2 linked regions of the Notamacropus eugenii genome follow. The protein of the gene in region 2 interacts with the protein of the main gene of each other region in a biochemical or structural test. Links are inferred from orthologs where the notes say so. Each region holds a gene or a part of one and is shown on either strand. Other genes may lie near its edges.

The links.
Region 1: the proteins of RALA (region 2) and EXOC2 are reported together in a solved structure, tested with the Homo sapiens proteins (2 studies listed by BioGRID, with this or other methods). The link is inferred for Notamacropus eugenii from reciprocal best matches to the Homo sapiens genes RALA and EXOC2.

Annotation. Positions count from the first base shown.
Region 1 is NC_092875.1:171,539,646-171,550,103, reverse strand, and holds the start of EXOC2 (exocyst complex component 2), read right to left. Parts: upstream 5,226-10,458; 5' UTR 5,145-5,225; intron 1-5,144. UniProt on the Homo sapiens protein: Component of the exocyst complex involved in the docking of exocytic vesicles with fusion sites on the plasma membrane.
Region 2 is NC_092874.1:480,933,611-480,944,061, forward strand, and holds the start of RALA (ras-related protein Ral-A), read left to right. Parts: upstream 1-5,290; 5' UTR 5,291-5,420; intron 5,421-10,451. UniProt on the Homo sapiens protein: Multifunctional GTPase involved in a variety of cellular processes including gene expression, cell migration, cell proliferation, oncogenic transformation and membrane trafficking.

The DNA.
Region 1 (10,458 bases), on a different chromosome or scaffold from region 2:
TAATATGGACCTCTCTTTCTCTCCCTTGTCAGAAGGCTTTTCAGAAGATTTACTCCAATACTAAAGTAACTGAATTCCCCAAGAGCCACTCATTTAATCAAGCAAAGGAAACACCAGGAAATAAGGGTCATAGACCTGCCAAAAGCAGGGCAGAGGAAGCAGATTCATGTGCATACACATTCTCCCTTCAGTATCTAGCAGTGGTACAATTTCACTGAAGCTGGGAACTTCTCCTTCAGTCTCAGTGACAGGATACTTTTTCTGCTCCAGGTTAGGTCACCCTGCCATGGAAGGACTTCCAGTCCTTACAGATGTTTTTCCTGGCCCCAATTTTGAAAACTAGTGTTATAGCCTGTAATATAGATGAAGGAAAAGCAATAACACAAGAGAAAAGAGAACTACTTTTAAAAATAATATCAAAAATAGTGACAATTTCTTGCCTTGTTTCTTCTACTCCCTCTAAATCACTAATCCCCTCTGTGTTTTATCTATAAAGCTACCTACCTCTGTGCTGGTGTGATTTAAAAAGAGGGCAATGGCAAATTAATACCTTGAAATAAAATTGCAGAGAATCTTCATATTCTTACTTTCCTTTCTAGCATGCCAATCTCGTTATCTGTTGTCTTTTTCCAATCTCCCCTCTCTGTGTAGATGAAAACAGCTCATCAGCCTTACTAATAAAAGTCCTCACAGTCAGAGTTTACATTTTCATTCTTATTAGAAGGCCATGAAATCTTAGGACAATTTCACTTAGTAAAACTTCAATAAACACTTCAGTATACACTCTGCAGTGCTAACTAGTGAGCCAATTACAAACCATTTATAGCTTGGATGGTTTTAATACTGGACCGGCATGGGGTCATGGAAAGAATACTGGATTTGCAATCTGAGAAGATAGTTTCAAATCCTGGTTCTGCTCATTACTACCTATCTGACCTTGGAAGTCACTTCATATTCTGGGTCTTTTTCATCCTGTAAAATGAGGTCGTTGGACTTGATAATCCCCAAAATCCCTCTTGTCTCTAAAGCCTGTGATACTAATTTGCCAGAATCAGTTTTGATATAAGGTAGGGGAGAAAATACCTTTTGACTAATGATAATTGTCCTTCCCCAAATCCTTATTTCTAAGTCCTAAACAAAAATAAATCACATTTGATTTTCAGTTTTCTATCACTTCCAGCATGCAAATGATAAATTACCACATGCAAAAAAAAATTTTACATTTTCTGTGTTTAATAAGAATGTATATGTATAACCCATATAAGATTGTATGCCATCTTGGGGAGGAAGGGGAAAAGGGAGGAGGAGAAAATTTAAGACTTATGGAAGTGATTGTTGAAAATTGAAAACAAATAAATTAAATTTTAAGAAAATTTTACATTTTCTAAATCCAAATCTAAAAGTGTAAAAACATTCTTCAAATGGAAACAAATCTTTGGAAAATTCTTACTGTAGGCTAGAAATAAAAAGGAAGAGGAAAGAAATAAAAAATGAAATAAAACCTTATAAAGATATTTATTTAGTAGAACACCACAAACAAAAAGAGCAAAGATTGGAAATGATAAAAATAAATCATTATTCACTTAAAAAGAGAAAATTGCAAATTTTCTCAGGTCTCTTTAATCTGAAAAAAAAATTCCTTGATCCTTTCACCTCATTTAGTTGCCAATGAAAAATCTCTTTCCTTTACTACTAAACTTAACGAAGAAATTTGCCTATATCATATGCTCTTACATCATTCCTATCCCAACCCTTATTCTCTCCTTAACTTCTTGCAATCTGACTTCCACCAGGATGAAAGTCCTTCAAAATCTAACCCCTTCCTGCCCTTCCGGACTTCACATGTTTTTACCTTCCTCTATACACTCTACCATTCAGCAACACTGGATTCTCACAGAGAGTACTTTATCTCCTCCTTACCTTTTCACTATTTCCCCTATGCCTTGGGTGCTCTCCAACCTCACCTCCAGCTCCTAGCTTCCCTTGCTTCTTTCAGGATTCAGCTCAAATCCCATCTCCTGCAGGAGGCCTTCACCTCCCTTTTCTTCCTCAATCTCCTAAACAACCCCAGGCCTTCATTGTGAGATAACCTTCCATTTCTTCTTAATATTTCTTGTTTATACAGTTATTTCCATATTAGTTCCCCTATTAGAATATAAGCTCCATGAATGCAGGAACCGTGTTGAATGTCTTCTAGGTATCCTCAGAGCTTAGCACATTGCCTATCACTGTTTGTGTAATTAATGCTTATTCAGACTTACTGATTATTCCTTGTAACTCTGCTGAAGTGATCCCCCAAAAGTTTAAGAATGACCACCTAATAACCAGCTGACTTTTTCCAGTCCTCACCTGTCTCAGCAGCACTTGTCACTGATGACTACTCCCTCCTACTGGATTTTCTCTAATCCCTTGGCTTCACAGACTACATATTTTCTAGATTTTTCTCCTACTTTGCTAACTCCTTTTCTCTATCCTTCATTGGCTCCTTGTCTTCCAAAACTCCCAAGACTTTTTCCATTCTATCATTTATATTGTTACCAGACTAATTTTTTTTTTTTGCTTGGGTCTATTAATGTTACTTTACCACTCAAAAATCTTTAGGGGCTTCTTATTGCCTGCTTGAGACAGTCCCAGCTCCTTTTAATCCATCAATCAACAAAAAGTTAACTACCTATTATGTACCAGGCAGTTAGATTAAATGCAATGGTATAGTAAAGTATTTTCATAAATGTCAAGTATTGCTTCTTCCCACTTGGGATCCCACTAAAATGGTGGATCTCAACCAGTAACAAAGACTCTATAAACTATTTTTCTTCTTGCTACTAAAAAAATACAAAAAGTACTTGTCCTGAGTACTTTCAGTTGGGAAATAATAATAATAAATAATAGGTCATATTTGTATGGTGCTTTAAGATTTGCAAAGCACCGTACAATATTACATCATTTGAACCTCACAACAGCCCTACAAGGTAGATACTATTTTTATCCTCAGTTTATAAATGAATAAACAGAGGTTAAGAAAGATGTGAGTTGAGGAGGTAGAGAGGGAATGTGAGGAAGGGATGTCACAGCTACTAAGCGTTTGAGTCAGGATTTGAATTCAGTACTTCCTGACTCCAAGGCCAACATTCTTATCTATGCACTTCACCAGTTAGTTGTTGGAATTAGGAATTTCCAATGTCAGTATTAATTCATTTCAGAAACAAGCATATAGCCTCTGATGCATGTTAACCACTCATGCGACTGCTGGACATCTTTATTGATTTAGATCACTTAATTCGAAAATTGTCCAGCAATATCACTGACTCCTCCCTATTATAGCAGAAGCAAAAGGGTGGACAAAGTTCTTTTACTACCTGCCAAATCTAGGTTTAGATATTTATATTCTTATCCATTTAGTTTTTCATGTTTAGCTGGCCTCCAGATTTTCATTTGAGTCCTGGTAGGACTTTAGACCACACATTAATGATATCACTTCCCATGGTATCAGAAACACGTTCTTATCAGCATTGGCAAATTGATGTCAGACCCACTGATCCCTCGTCACCTCAACCCAAAGTAGTGCAAATTTTAGCCCAGTTTTTTTTTTTTAATTCTTCCTTTTAGCACTTTGCTTTGCATGAAAACAGTAAAGGACTAGAAGTTCTCAGAAGGTAGGCTCCTCACCACTTCGGTGTTCCACTGAATTCTTCTAAGGAGTGGACACAGAGACATGCACCTAATAAGTATCCAATATGATAGCAGCTAAGATAATTGAGGAAGCTCCACCTCCATGTCAGATGGAAGCATGGCAGCTTGTCCTCTGGCCTCCAGTTGCATCCCAGCTGTTCACAGTGTAATGATATCGCTTCAGGCTATGCTTTCTTGAAATACTTTGTCTGTCCACCCTGTTCACAAGAGCCTTCCTTCAGTTCACTTTCAAGCAGATGTTCAAGTTTTCTGCTGCGTCCATTCTCACGTGACCCAGCCAGGACAGCTTACCACAAACTTCAGATTAGTCATGGCAACAGGGGAATGAGGAATGCATGAATAATTAAAATCCACAGATCATTTCCAGTACCTCATTTTAGCCAACAGATTCAACTTTTCTCCTAACCATAACCTTTTGCTGAAACGGCAAGCACAGCACAATAGATTGCCTTGGAGAGCATCCCTTTTTTCTCCTGCTTTTCTTCACCCTTGGGTGAAATTAGAGCTATGAAACAGCCAAAGAGCCACAGGGAAGGGAATAAGGAGCCCCAAACCAGCCCATACATATAAAAATAACTGTGCTGTCATGGAAATAGCACTGAGCAGAAATTCAGGAGAACTGACCAAGAGCTGTGCAGTTTTGAGTAAGCCACTTCTCTGGGATTTAGCATTCTTATCTACAAATGCGGAGGATGAACTTTAGAATCTGAGATCCTATTAATGTATATTTTAGCAAGCTATTCTTTTTACCAAGTTTTGACTGAGTGGCCGATTTTCTCCAATCATCTGATATGACCCCTAATATATGTGTAGCATTGATCTTACCCACCATGCCTTTTACTCTTAATATCTCGCTGGTAGCAGATCACACAAATCTTCCAGCTCTTAAGCTGAAAGCTTTTGTATTGAAGGATTTTATTTGTGAAAATCAACTTAGAAGTCTTCAAATCCAACCCATTTCATTTTAAAGCTAGATAAACTGAGGCCCAGGGAGGTTAAAAGATTTGTCCAAGGTTACACATGAAGCAAGCATCTTGGTGTATAGGGGATCTTAATGCTTGATTTCATAAAAGTATCTAATACATAGCAATCAATTTTTTTAAAAAAAACCACAAACTTCAACATTCATCTCAATCCAAAAGGAGCGTTCTGGCTGCCCTGTGTCTCCACAGTTTCTCCTTCTCTTTCCTCAAGTATCTCCCCATCATTCGTTTCTCTGTACTCCCCTGTACCTGCCCCCAGTCATACCACTTTTCTCTGATTTCAAATCATAAGGATGAAGAAGGGGCAGGAAAAAAGCATTTATATAGCATCTACTCTGTGCCAGGTACTGTGCTAAATTCTTTTTGCAGTTATCTCATCTGATCCTTATAACAATCCTGCAAGATAGGTACTGTTATTATTCCCATTTTATAATGGAGGAAACTGAAACAAACAGAAGTTAAGTAACTTACCCAGGATCATGCAGCTAGGAAGTTTTCTGAGGCCAAATTTGAACCCAGGTCTTCCTGATTCCAGGCCCATGCCCAGACTCAATCCACTGTGTCATGTCATTCCCACCTTCACCCTCTCTCCTCAACCTCATGCCAGAAAATGTGAAAGAGAGAAAAATGAAAATCACATGGTAGTCTTATTGTGAAATAACTCTACTGGGGGAAAGGTGCCCTAAGTATGTGGGCTGGATTTTCAATTTTTCATTGCATTCCTACTTGTCCACAGAGTAATTTCATTTATGCTGGGACTGATTTCTTTCAGATCCTGAATGTGTGGGGCCATGCTAATTTGCATAGTTGTTGCATTTTAAGTATATTGAACATGATGCATATTCAATCTGCTAACAAAACCAAATGAATATGCTGACAGGAATAATATATTTAAGAGCTGATGGATTGCTAACTGGCTTTCTTTCCTGAAAACATTTTTAAAAGTTCTTCTTCCTAAGTAATAATTTTCCAACTCTCTAACACTGTAAGGATTTCTCTTAGAGTTTCAGTTTAGAACAAATTAAAAATTCCTTTCTAATTATGTCATTATGATCACATCCTAGAAATTTATACGCTTTTAATTCATGTTTCGTTTGCATAATAAAAAGTCCTCAAATTGCTTTTGTACTTTTATGTATCTTCTGTATTTTAAAATACCTCTTGCAATGTCTTCAGCAGTGATACTAGATTTGGGGTTGGCTGTATTTGCTTTCCTAGAAAAACATATTTAGAGGAATTTTTTTTTTTTAGTTTAGAAGATTTTAATTTGAATTAGAATTTCAGTCATTTTTCCGTATTATTTTACTAGCTTATTTGTAAGAATAAGCCCTACGCCACTGATTAATGAAAAATGACTAGTGATACTGTAATATAACATAAAACTGACTAATAGCCAGTGAAAAAAGTTAAAAGACTTTTCAGCTTTTTTAAACTTTTGCTTTAAACAAACATGGACCAGTAACTATTGACTGAATTTGGCAGTAATTCACTCAATAAGTGTAACTGTAGGACAGAAACGGCATATTGTAAAGTAAAAAACATTTATCATTGAAAGTAAAAAAAGAGAATGAAATGCATTGCTGTACTTGTGCCTGCCCCCAAATGATTTTTGGCATACTTTAAGAGAAATAAGACATAAATTAATGCACAAAGCATTTTGAATGTTCTTCCTGAACAAGTCCAGTCAACTTCTCCACATCAAACAGATCCGAGAGCCTTTTGCATTTTTAAACGATCTTCAATAGCATTTAGAAATCTCACATTGCTTTCCTTTCTTGGCTTGTAACAAAATACTTCTTTCCTTTAAAGACCTGTCCAAGGAATCTGTGCACAGCTGACCCAGAGGCAGTGTTTTTCTAAACAATACTCACATACACACAAAAAAAGTTCATTTATTTTGTACAACTGAAAATATTTAACTACATTTTCATGAGCTCAGTCAAAAATATCACTCATCCATGTACTGACTGTGACAGTTCAAATGCAACATTTTAAAGTAAAATAAAATAAAAATATTTTTAAAATATTTTTTTAAAAAACAGTATTCATTAAGCTCCTACTATGTGCAAGTCTTACTATGTGCACCTATTACTCTTATTATGTGTAGGTAAGGCACTCATTCTGTCTTTACATATATCCTTTCAGTCAAAATCAAATTAACCTGTTTGAAGATAGGATACTAGACATATACCTACCCTTCATTCAGTATTCTTTTTCAACTAAGAAACTAACTCCAAAAAGTACATTTAATTTGCTTTGTAAATAAACTACTTTTTTACTCCTACAATAAATATTTGTAATCAGAACTCCCATGTACTAGTATCATAAGGGAGAAAAAACAAAATAATTCAGAAGTGAGAGAACAGCATTGGGATCACCGAAGACTTTGTCTATAATACCTGTTTTCGAGCATACTGTATCATCTTTAAAATAGTGCATTTTTGAGCTAAACCAAAAACAGTACAATGTGCTAGATTATTTTTATGGCTACAATTACATAAGCATTATTTACATGAGGAAAAACCATGCTAAGCCAGAAAAGGTGGTTGCTGTGGCTAAAGTATTCTCTAATATAGGTCCCTTCTGTAAAAGTGTACATTTTAATCACCTTTCAAAAATTAAGCATTTTTAATGTTTTCAATGTGGACCAATTAATGTTGGAAGAAATATATATGCATGTATCCAGAATATCTAACATCTATACTTCTAATATACATTGTTGTCATTTCTTCAGGAAACCTAAAAACATGGTCCTTCTTAAAATTTAAATGAGGTTTGTACCCTTCAGAATCTTTTCTTGATACTTGAAAAATGGCAGCACCTACCAAGTAATTCAATTGTTTTGTTAAATCTACCTTCCACATTCTGAAGAACAGTTTAATAAATTATGAATTGAAACAATTTTAGTTCATCAGAGCATTATTCCTTCAAGATATCTGATGAATAAAAATAAGAGTTAAAGGCTATATAGTTTTTATATGATACCAAAACCTTACAACTTTCTCTTGTGAGACTTACACACTTTCTTAATTATTAGTAACAGGACATTGTGGTTTCTTACTGCTTTGTGACATTTGACCACTCATTTTTCTTGAAGGAAATTCTAATGTTTCTCAGTCAGAAACATTTTGTAGATAAATACTCACTCTTTCTCAATAACATAAGCATTCACTTTATTTACCTACAAAATGATGATTATAAAAATGAAGTGCTCTTCCTTAACTTTACTCAAAATAATGTAAAAATTAATTATGTCTCTGACTTCTCTCTAATGGTAATAAAACTAACTCAGAAAAGGTGGCTTTATAAAAAAAAATAAAACTATGTTAGTCTGGGTTGTGATGATCTCCTACTGTTTTTTTATTGCTACCATTATTTAAAAGATTAAATTAGTCTTCAGGTCTTGAAAAGTTTTCTAAAAGTAGTCACATATGTTCTAATGGCAAATGTGATCACTTCCATTGCACTGAAATAGAATAATATAATTCCTCAATATCAGTTGGAAGAAACATTGGAGTTTGGGAAGCAACGTGGTATGAATATTAGATTTGGTATTAGAGAAGTAGGATTCAAATCTCAGTTCTGTCATTAAACCTGTGTGGTGTTGGGCAAGTCCCTTTACCTCTCGGAGCTTTAGTTTCTTCCTCTGAAAAAGGAGAGAGACTAGAGGATCTCTAAGGTCCCTGCTAGCTCTGAATCTGTGATCCTAAGAATTTAACCTCATTATGACTCAAATACTAAGAGACCTTTTGTTTTAACTTGTCCCTGAGTAGGAATCCTCTCTATGCTATCCAGATGAATGGTCATCTCTTCTACATTGGGAGAACTCCAGAGAAATGTAATCTGGTTCAATTGGTCCCTAGCTAGGAATCCCCTCTACCCTATTCCAAATGAAGGGTCACCTATTTTCCATTGAAAGAGCTCTAGTAATAAAGAACTCATTCCTTCCTCAGGGAGTCCATTCCCAAGGTGCAGAGAAGGTAAATCACATACTTCATTTTATGGAGAAATGTTTGCAGTACTCCTTATTCTTTTATTTTAAATGTCATCCTCATACTTTTATCCTCTTCCTTTTTCCATCCTGGAATTTACATTCTTTGACATTAATTTTAACTCGACTCCTAGGGAGGTAAATGAGGTCACAGTACGAGGACTGCCTGACAGCAGGTAACTCAGGATCAGATTTAACAGTTAGCTAACTACTGAGAAACACCCTGAGAAATCATGGAAAGGAGGAGAAGAGGAAATGAGGACAGCATGAAGACTATAACTATATTGTTTCTGCACAGAACATGGGAAAAACCTGTTGTTCTTTCTTTTAAATCTTAACTTTAATAACTTGATATTTCATACGTCTACATCACTCATCTGCCCTAGAATTAGTGATGGATTAAGGTATACCCCTAGCTAAATCTCCCTTCTCTTCAAAAGATCCTCTTATGATGCCTTGTTTTGAATTTTGACACATAACCAGTGGATATTCCGCATCCCCCTTCCTCCCCACTATCAAGCAGAAGTTAAAAGTTGGAGCTGAATTTGCATGTTAAGATTTCAAAGAAGCGTCTGAATGGGAGTAAGGCTCACACGGAGGTTACAAAAGGAATTAGACTTCTTTGGTAGTAGATAGAGAAGAGAAAGATGGAAGAGGCATTTGAATTTTTAGGGTCCTTTTGTGTTTTATCACCTATTCAATCTGTATAACTCAGCTTACATCACCCCATCTCTTCAGCCATATTTCAAAGATTTATTTTTCCCCTTACTCCCTTATTCCTTCTGTATGTTGATACAGTCACTTGTATATAAAGAATAATGCTGACTATGGCATTCTAATTTTTAAAAAAATAACACATTTTTCTTCTGTGAGTCAGCCACTCATTGTAAGAAGATTGTTAACTGGTATTCTGCTTTTGACAATTCTTAAGATTATTACTGGAGTCTGTAACTGGAGAACCATGTTAGAAAGTGATTGGGCTTGCTAACTACAGGGACTGAAATGTGTCTCTCCTGAGCATGAAGGAAGCAGGCAGTTTGCCATATATACTTCTCTTGCATAGTCAGATAAGGAGGTCCGATGCTCTCTAAGAGAGGTTTTTTTTTAAAATTTCTTAGTTATAGTGTCCATGAGACATGTACTTTTACAGTCTCTTTCAAGTTGTATTATTTTATTGAGGATAAAATTTTTCTTCATAGGGGTGGGGCAAGAAATTTGAAGAATCTCCTTTATCTTGCATTGTTTGGTTTACATGTTTTAGATAACCGATTCACGTAAGATGAGTTGTCATATGTTTATACCTTGTTGACAGCTGTACAAAACTGATACATGGACTGATATTTCTACTCCTTAGTATTTTATATCCACTTCAGTTTTGTGTTTTAAGTCAGGATGTCTCAGAGAGACACATTTGCAAAGATACTTCATGTTTGTGTTTTCCTTTGTGCCATTGCCCATTTTCCATTTTATTTTATATGGATAACAATAGCCCATCATCCTTATTAATACCACTTTTGCTGTCAAAATTTAAATTTTTATTCTTATTGAAAGGCTATGAAATTTTAGGACAGTTTTCTTTTTGCTATAACTCCAAATTAGGTATGAATTAATTCTCTGTACACATTTAAAATTATATTCTGATTCTCTATTAAAAGAGAGAAGGAAGAGGACAGGGTTTTTTGTTTGTTTAATTTTTTAGTTTAGTTTTTTTTTTTTTTACTGTACTCAGGATGGTGTAGGGGTGGGGAAGGAGTAACTCCACAAGGATCAATTTTTATCTATATCTATTTGCAA
Region 2 (10,451 bases):
AAGCACATTGGAAATGAAATAATTTAGTCCTTTAGCCTATGTTTTGTTCATATTATACTATAAGAATTGGGAAGTAGCAAAGACTTTTTCTCCCCTTCTCTGTGGCACAGGCTAGTTTGGGGCTACAATCACAAACAAAAGGGATCAAAGAATGTCAGAGTGCTATAGAGATGATTTCTCCCCTGGTTACACACACGCGGTGGAAGGGAGGGGCAGGAATGGTAGGACTCTGATAAGCCCAGTTGCTATACTTCTTGTATATACACGAAAAGTTGTGCCCACAACTTCCTCTATCTGCAAAGGCAGATTTTAATATCCCAGACCTCAAACCAAAACTGTTCTACAGAATCCAGATCCAAGATAACTGACTAATATCTGTTTAGTAAAATGCATTGTCCAGCACTTAATACTTTCTATCATATGATGAGACTGATGGAAATGAGTGTTTCACTTTTTATCAAATTCAGTGGAAAGGAACACCATCACTGTGGACACTTGGACAGCTGACTGTCCTAGCTATTTCTAACTCAGCTTCTTTCTGTGTCCCAGACAGACAAGAGGTTGCTTCTAGTCTCATCTGAAATATTGGCACTTTTTTTCCCAGCACAGTCGTCCTTGAATTGGTTTTAGTTCTTTGCTACTTTAAAACAATGAGCCTCGAGCAATGTGACCTTCTAGACTGGGATTCTTTCAAATATGGAGGTGTTTCTAAACCCCTGTCCAGCTTTGCCTTTATTTCTCCTTCATTATCACCATCTACTCTTTCAAAGGGATGTATCTTCTGGTTGCTGAGATTTTCTCCCTGGGATTCTCAGCTATTCATTTCATCCTCTTTTATTTTCCCTCTTCATTGAAATGACAATGATCTGCAGGCCAAGTGTAACGTCTGTTTATATTTACCTCACCTGCTGCTGTTAACAAATGAAGAAGGAAGGAGGAAACTTCCCAAGTACAACAGGCAACAGATGAAATACCTACAAATTCCTAGGAGACAAAAAATCAAGAAAAGGGGCCAGTGATAAAATCCCTGTCTGCACATCTCACCAAATCCCAACTACTTACTGGGAAACTGATCTTCCACTTTAAGTAGGGATTGGGAGAGTGTCTAGAGAGAGCACTACCAATGAATAAGAAAGCCAGCGCACCACAGGCACTTATTTAGGAAGCCAGAAACTGAAAAGGACCAGTTGTATAGGCAAAAAGAGAAATGGAAAATGAGAAAAGAGACAATGTCCAAGAGGTGGTCAGCTGTATGAAGTACAATTAAGGACAACGGGGACTAAGAAAACATCACTGGATCAAGCAATTCATCCATCAGTGATATAAATCCTGGAAAGTGCAATTTCAGTCAGGGAGGAATCAGAAGCCAGATTGCAGGAGGCTAAAGATTCGGCAATAAGGAAGTAAAGACAATGAGGGTAGATGATTTTTTTTTTCTGATTGTGGGATAGAGATAGTGAAAGAGCAGAGATAAAGGACAATTGCTTGAGGGAACAGCAGGGTCAAGTGAAGGGTTTTTTTCAGCCCTAATTAGATCTGACCTTTCTATAGCTAGTGAAGGTGTGGAAGTAAATTGAGGGACTGAAAGTGCATGATCAATCGATGAATATTTACTAAATACCAGATATGTACTAGGTACTGTGTTAGGTGCTGCAGACTTTACATTGTATTGGAGAGACAGACGGAAAGATATAGATAGACAGACAGATAGATAGATAGACAAACGGACAGACAGACAGACAGATAGACAGATATAGATTTAGATAACACACAGAGACAGAGAGAGAATGGTACTCAGTTCACGGCTAGAAGGTTTGGTCCTCAGAAGAAGGCCACTACTTCCTAGGACACTGGTGTAAGAAAAGAAAGGATAAGAATGGTTGTAGAAGATGTGGGGCTAGAGATGTAGGAGTTCACAATGAATGATCTTGATTTCGTCATTAAAGTAGGAGAGGTGAGGATGATGGGGGAGGATGATAGCTCTGGGACTTTCAGAAAACGGGAAGTTTCTAAATGAAGACTCAGGGAATGGGATCAATCAATTGAGGATGAATAAAAGTTTTGCCACTTGGTTGGGAAGGTGCTGTTGACTTCAGGTGACCTCAGTCTATGGTGGAGTCAATCAGTTGTTGTTCAGTCATGTCAAACACTTCCTGACCCTATTTGGGGTTTTCTTGGCAAAGATAATGGAGTGGTTTGCCATTTCCTTCTCTGGCTCATTTTAGATGAGGAAGCTGAGACAAACAGGATTAAGTGACTTAGCCAGGGTCATACAGCTAATATGTGTCCAAGGCTGGATTTGAATTTATGGACTCCTGGCCTGGTGCTCTATGCACTATGGTGTTATCTAGTTGCCCAGAGTCAAACAGTATGATTTGGGCTATGTTCAACAGCAGTAGGTAGAATGTGTTCAAAAGAGAAGGCATATGGTGGAGGTAAGGACTAGCAGTGAAAAAGAATGACTGATGGTATTGAATTTGTCAAGAAACTGGTGAGAGGAAAGTGAGGCCAGAGCAGGGCTACTGAACCAGGAGAATAAGGTAGGGGAGGGAACAGGGTTGTAGTGAAGGTGAAGAAGTTTAGGAGGAATGAGGAGAGATGAAAAGATAGACAACGTAGATGAACTAAAAGAAATGGTTAGAATTTTAGAATAGCAACAATGGAGAAGAAATAAAGCCTAATTCTATCTAAATCTCTAATTTTCAAAGATGGAAAGGTAATTTTAATGTTGCAGGGGATTTCCAATAAGGAAATTCCATCTACTAATGCAGATGAGCCACTTGTGGAGAGTTGTCTGGAAATGAGAGTTTCAAGGCCTGGTGCAGGGTCATATAATAGAACAAATCTGAGATGGAATGTGAACCCATGTCTTCTGGATACTAAGGCTACCTCTCACAAATCATTTTCTTTTGGGTATAGACATGCCTATGAATAATAATAGGTTCCAAAGATTCATTATCAATTCAATTCTTTGTTATCTTTAGATATGGACTATTATATATACATTTTATATTATTCTATACAAATATGAATAGTACTTTTATTAATATAACATCATTTAAAAAAGGGATATTCTTTAAAATTCTTTAACAGCCATTAAAAAGGATGCTGTAGGCAAGGGAGCAAGCATTTATTAGGTGCCTACTATGTGTCAGGTACTATGTTAATAAGCACTTTACAAATATTAGAACAGAGGTTCTTAGACCAGGGCCCATTATTTCAAAAATAAATATTGATAACTGTATTACAGTATAATTGGCTTCTTTGTAATCCTATGGATTTTATTTTATGCATTTAAAAATATCCCTAAGAAGGGGCTCATGGGCTTCATCAGACTGACTGCCCCAAGGGGTCCATGGCACGTGGGCCAAAAAGGCTCAGAACCCCCTGCAAAAACAACAGTCTGACAAGACCATGCAAATGCTTTCAAGGAAATATGATAGCAGTTGATAGCGGTGAATCTTACATGATAACCCTTAACTCTTGACTAAAGTTATATTTACTAATAGGTGATGAAGCGTTTTTGAATATAATCAAAATGATATTCATCCAAAAAACCCAGACTAAGTTTTTGAACAAAAGCCTTGATGTCTTCTCTTGGTAAGTGCCCAAATTCAGTCATGCTCCAGGGGATTAGTGCTCATTATTAATATGTCCTTTCATTAATACCTTTCATCCAAGAACCTCAAAGGGCTTTTCAAACATTAATTTGTTATGTCTCATAACATCCCTGTGAGGCAGGGCAGTAGAAAGTTATCATTATCCCAGTTGTACATCAAGAGAATCTAGGGCACAGAAAGGGTCAAAGAGTGGGGAAAGAAAAGTGGGGCCAAGCTCTGCTTTATTTTCTCCTCTATAGCAGGGGCACGACGGTCAATGCCGCATTTTGGCTGTGATGTGACTTTTTGAAGCCACCTCGTGGTGCGTGAGGCGGGCCCGGATCCACTCGCAGCTCCCTGGGGACACGGATTCGGATCCCATCATCACGCATCACGCCATCAATCCACACGGACAGATCCATGCTCCCAAGGCTGGGCCGCGCTGACCCAGCCACGTGTACTTCCCAAGCTGGTTACTGTTGCAGAAGAGGTAGCGGGCCGGCCACCTGCCTCCAATCAGAGTCCAGGGCGGGTCATGGCGTCACCTCTGACGTCATGGTCTCATCCCTAGGGCCGATGACTTCAGAAGGCATTCAAGCATTAAGCGGTGCAGGACCCGGACCGTGCGCTTCCTCACGCAGTGACCCGGTAGCTGCTTAGAAAAGAGAGACAACCGAGCTCCAGTCCTGCCACTCCACCGGGGCCCAGGGCTCTCCCCTGCCCCTCAGGGGGCTCCCTCCTGGTCGGGAAGTCCTTCGGAAATCCTGGAGTCCAGCCCTAGCCCTCTCTGGAGGCCGAGGGCAGGGAAGGAGGTTCACAGGCTCCCCTGGGCGGCCCAGGAGGGAGGGGGGCGCAGCGGACCGGGGGTCCCTGGCCCCCCCGTACCAGGGCGCTGGGCTTGCGGCTCCCGAGGAGCTTTATTCAAGTGACTTATCCTCCGGGGAGTTCGGACAAGCCCTCTCCCTTCTCTGGGCCTCAGTTTCCTCGTCCATCAGGTCCCTGATCTCGCGATCTTACAGCCCCGCCCCCAGGGGGCCTCAGAGAGGGGCCAGGAAGCGCATGCGCGACTAGGGCCCGGGGCCCTCGACCGACCATTGCTGCCCCCCCCCCCCCCCCAAGCCCCGCTCGGGTTCCGCTCCTCGGCGGGGAACTCTCAGAGTTTTCGGGGCCTCATGTTCCACCTCGCCGGAGGAGGATGGGAGGACCCGATCTTTACGGCCCAAGCCAGAGCACAACCCACGACGGGAAACCTCTCGACGCCCAACATGGCGAGGTCCCCCCCCCCCCCCCCCCCCCCAGGGAGCACGAGCCCTACGTCGACGAGGAGGCCCGGACGTCGGTGACGTCATCATCCGGGAATCTCGGCTGGGATTTTGGCGGCGTGCCCGCCGGGGGAACAGCGCTGACGTCACCGCCGCGCAGGAGGAGGGCGGGGCTGCCCGAAGGGCCAGGACGCTCGCACCTGCGCAGACGGGACCGGCGCTCCACCCCCTCCCCCCAACGTTCCCTCCCCACCGCGGGCGGGGCGAGGAGCAGGGTTTCCCATCATTGTTCTCTAGCGGGGCCTGGGTCCTGCTCCTGGTTTTGGGCGTGCTCTTCGCCGGAAGTAGCTCCCCAGCTAGGGGCCCCCTCCCCGGGTGGTGCGACCCCGGCCCCCGTGCCCCGGAAGTGATCGGCAGCGGCGGCGGCGGCGGCGGCGGCGGCTGCCAGGAGGAGTCCCGAGCTGTCCGGCCCGGTCCCGGCCCCGCGGCGGCGGCGGCCTCAGCCTCGCCCCGGCCGGCCGTGCGTGCGTGCCCGCCTCCGCTCCCCGGCCGGCTGCAGGTGAGCGTGGGCTCGCGGGGCGGTGGGTGTGTCCGGGCCGGGCGGGCCAGGCCTCGGGAGCGCGGCCCGAAGGTCACCCCGCCCGCGCTGGGGCATCCATTAGGCGCCAGCTGTGTGCCGCGCTCAGGGTGGGGGCGGGGGAGGAACGGGGCGCCCCTCCTGCGGGGGTGGAGAGGAGAGCCTCCGCATCACCCATCCATTAGGCGCCTGCTGTGTGCCGGGCGGGGGGAGGGGCGGGGGAGAGCCGCAGCATCACCCATCCATTAGGCGCCTGCTGTGTGCCGGGCTGGGGAGGGGAAGAAAGGCGCGCCCCCTTTTTGGTTCCTGCTGTGTGCCGAGCCCCGAGGGGAACCACCCCTCGAGGAGGGTTTTGGAGAACCGCAGCTTCCATTAGGCGCCTACGGTGTACCAGGCTCCTGGGGTGCCGAGGAGGAAAGGGGCGCCCCTCCTTTCGGCAGGGTGGGGGAGAATCGCCTGCAGTGTACCGCGCGGTGGGGGGACCGAGGAGAGGAGGGGCGCCGCTCCTGTGAGCACCTGCTGTGTGCCAGGGCCCGGGGGCGGGGCGGGAGGAAAGAGCCGATCCTTGATGTGGGGTGTCCCCGTCCAGTGGGGACTCCTTTGGGAGGAGGAGCAGGGTTCGAGTGTGGCCCCTGGACCCCTGGGCCCGCCCTGGCCGAGCGTACCTCGGCTCGGTCACTCCTATTCCCTAGGCTCGCTTCCCACGTCCGGGGAATCCCGTATAAAGCGTCTAGACGGCCGTCCTGCCCTGGGGAAGTCCCGCGGGCGCCCCACCTGGGGGGCTTCGGGGTGCGGCAGCCCCACCTAATGCGGACCGAGCCGCTGAGGTGGGGGAAGGGCGAGCTCGGGAGGCCGGGCCGGGCTGGAGCCTCCTCGGTTGGGGTAGGGGAGCCCGATCCACTTCCAGCCTTCGGAAGGGGTTTTCAGATTGTGGGTTTTAGTGGCTTTGGGTGTGGGTGAGCTCTGCTGCTTGTTTTTGATTTGGAGGAAATGGAGGGGGGCGGGGGAGCCACCTGAAGCTCTTAGATAACCTCCCTGGGCTAGAGAAAGGTGGAAGCTTTCCGTTTGATTGAGGTGCTTTGGGCCTCAGTTTGTTCATCTGTTGAAGGCCGGAGTTAGACTAGAGAGTCTTCTAAGGGCTCTTCGCTGTCCGAACATAAAACCCAGATTTCTGAGTTCCTCTGTCATCTCCAGTGCCACACCCTAAAATACTTTTCTGGGGTGCTGACATTGCCTTTGTTTTTAACCCAAGGATTTAGTTTCTATGTGTATTTTTTTTTGAAATGGTAACATTTATATTAAGAGTTGAGAGAAAAATTGGCCTGATAGGTTCTTTATTTTATTCCAACTTGTCTGCCACAAATGGTTTTGTTGTTGAGAGTAATTCCTCAGGGAGGCAGGCTGTCATAGTGTAGGGAGAGGATTGGATTTGGAGTCAGGAAAACCTTGGTTCAGATCAGTTTTCTTATTCCTAAAATGGGATGTTAATACCTGGCATAAGTACTTACCTCACACAGGGATGTTAAGTTGCAGTAAATATGATCTCTAAATCCTGTGTGGACCAAAAAAAGATAACGCTTTGTTGGTATTACTTATTGTAAAAGCAATTTAAGGATGTGTGGTTCTAAAAATAATTCAGGAGAAGAACCTCCTGCCAGATCCTTGACTGTATTATATTTCAGGTTAAGATTTATAAATTGTTTCGGCGACTATTGTGTCCTTAACTCTATGATTATAATTAAATTGTGAAAAAGAAACGATGCTACATTTATCTTCTCAGTAAATTGAATATAAAACATTGTAAGTATTCCCATGACTCTCCAAACTGTAAACTGAATTTTGTATTACAAGTGTGCCAGAGAGTGATGCTCTTATTGTCTGGGTGCACGGACGTCACTCCCGACAGTCATTTATTCCTTTGGCGAATTATCTTCCGTTCAGTTATCGCGCTTGAACCACTTTGAATTTTGGGAGGGAGGGAGCGATTTTCCTTTGTGGCTTGGAGTTCAGCCTACTAAAAGAGGACAAAAGTCTGAGAAATAGAGCTTTTTAAAATTTCAGAAAGGAAACTCAGAGATCTTTGACTTCTTTAGTACTGGTGCTCAGTTGTGGTCATTGGTTGATGTCCTTCCTTCTCAAAAAAGACCAAATTGTTATCAGTACAGTATGTCTGTACTGTACCTGTGGCGGATCAGACCGATGCGGGCTCGGAAGGCTCCACCACAGCTTGGTCACCAAGAATCCACATGAGTATTGGGAGTGAAAATATCTCTGAATTTGTGTATCTCACACTGCTTTGGGGCTGCTGCAGTTCTGCTTTGCTCATAGAGCACAGCACCTTCTTTGCTGTGGGCATACTATACTGGGCAGTCCTGTGCCGGTGTCTCCCGTGAGAGACCTCCAGAGTGTCCTTGTGTTTCTTCTTCTGACCTCCATGTGAGTGTTTGCCTTGTGAGTCTTCTAGGCCTACGTATATATAATTATTGGAACAATGTAGCCACCCTGTCAGGGTTGAACTCTCTGCCAGAGAGTTTGAATGCTTGACAGTTTAGTTCAAGAAAGGACCTTGTACCTTATCTTACCAGATGATCTTCAGAATTTTCCTGTGACAATCAAAGCTGTTTAGAAACACATAATAAGGGTTTGGGGATCATGGCTTAAAAATATAGGAATGATAGTCTCCTGACTAGGACTAGGGTATATAAATTCTAGAAAAAAAGATTTTCATCAGTTGTTATAAGTGAAATGAAAAGGGCAGGTGAAAACTACCAACCTCTCTCTAAGCAGCGACCCCTCGAGGGTGATTATAGAGTAGGAAGAGTGGCCACAGACACACTTAGTGCTTTACAGGAGAGACCCAGGCAGTAAAGACCAGCCCCAAGCCTGCCTATGTGGTCACGTCCTCAAAACCTGCAGTGGGGCAGACCTCGTGCCGAAGCACCAGACTTGCTCCTTGAGTTCAGCTAAACTGATGATTTCCAAAGAAACAGAGTGGGTCAGAAGTGTGCTGGCAATACATACCTTTGGAGAGACACAGGGACCCGAGCTTTGGGGTACACAGGAAGGGAACTGAGAGAGTGTGAGTGTGGCCTGGAGACCACTTAGGTAAAAGGAAGAAGAGGGCAAACAGAATGTAGCCCTGGCATGACAGCATCGATCAGAATAACCAGCAAGCATTGGGTGAGGTGTTGGGGATTCAGAGACAAAAGAAAACTAGACCTGCCAGCAAAGAGCTGGGTGGGTTGGGGTGAATGACCCACGAAAAAGCTGAGCTTTGAGGAGTATTTTTAGAGCAGAAGAATGGAGGAGGGAGGAAGAGTTATTGAAGGGAAGGGCCTCCGAGGCCTTGGGAGTCTCCCATACAAAAAGGGTGATGAAGGGCAGCCATAAGATCCATTTGACTGAACAGTGACACCCAGTGGAACATGCTGCGCCTGTGCAGGTAAGTGGCAACAAGGGAGCGAAGGACTTTGGGACACCCAGCTGAGGAGGTGGTGTTTGATCCTAGGGGTTATTGGGAACTGTTCACTCTCAGATGCACAAAAACGTTTCAGACCCAGTCCTATCTGCCTTGCCCTGACTAGCATTGCCTGTCCAGCTCACTTGCAGCTGAAACCTGTGTTGGGGCCCCCAGTAGTGTGGGAGTAACTCAAGAGTTGGTGCCATCTTTTCTGTTGGGGAGTAGGCATTTCATAAATACTTTTTCATTGTAGAGGACTTCATCTAGACATTTGGAACTGTTCCTCTGCCAAAATAACCGGAGGCGATAAAGTATTGTCCTGACTTAATTATCAAACTATCCTGGTGGTTTAGGAAATGATTAGGGAGGCTGGACTGCTTTCCTGGACTAAATGAATTCAGACCAAAAAGAAGAGAGCTCGAAACCAGTACCTTTGTGGTACTGATAGCAAAGAAGAGGAAAGCTCTATGTAGGCTTCCATAGCAAACATTGAGTACAGCAAATTTCAAGTGGGTTCAGAGAAAATCCCATGACCTAAAGTTCTTGAGGACAACAGAACCCAGTGAGGAGTAGGGTGGTGCTCTGAGAAAGGAGATTCTGAGGAGAGAAGTGAAACAGTTGGAGTGAGGAGCTCTCAGGAATCATCCATCTCAACTCAGATTTGATTTGATTTTTGTACTAACTTTATTAATACTTTTTGTTTTTAAGGAGAGCAACTAGACCTGATTTCACTCCTGTAAGTAGATGGTGTCAAAAGCTCCCAAGGGCAGCTGGACCAGATTAAAATGTAATTGGGAAATAGTTAACAAATTAAAATATAATAAAACACATTTAATATTAATATATGATTTCTTTAGTTAGTTTATATGGCTGCTTTTCTCTGAGTCTGATACCTGTGGTATAGATCTTACCCTGGTGAGGAAAATCCCACTGTTAGTGCCTCCTGGGACCTTCTCTGCAACTTAGATTCTTAAAGAATGTCTTTGAGACATTGAGGGGCCACATCCCAAGTCCGACCCCTCTGCATCAGTTTTTTCCCATATACCTTTCCCTACTTCTTCCCCCGCCCCATCCATCTAGTGATGCACCCCTATAGCAGAACCTACTGACCCCGTGACCAGGTCTGACAGTGTATGTTGGGTTTTGCAGCTAGAGCCCTCCTACCCCTGGTGAAAAGAGGGACATCCGTTTCCTGATTTCTCAGCAGAGCTCAAATTCGAGAGTTGGTTACTCAGACTTTGGTTTCATTTTAATGAACTTTCCGTTTACGTTATTGTCATTGTGTATTTTGTATTCATCTGCTTACATCACTGCGTCTGATTGAGCCTCAGAATTCCTTGTGTTCACCCTTTCTTATGGTGTAATGATGTTCTCTGCATTTCATACACCACAACTGGTTCAGCTTTTCTTCAGTCCAGAGCAGAGGTTTCCAGAGTTTGAGACACCATCACCTGGGGGGTGCAGTTGTGGGGGTGTTGGATAAAATAAGGGTGGTGGAAGCATAAGGAATGAAGAGAAGAAGATTTTGAGAAACCATTTGTACGTTTCATCTG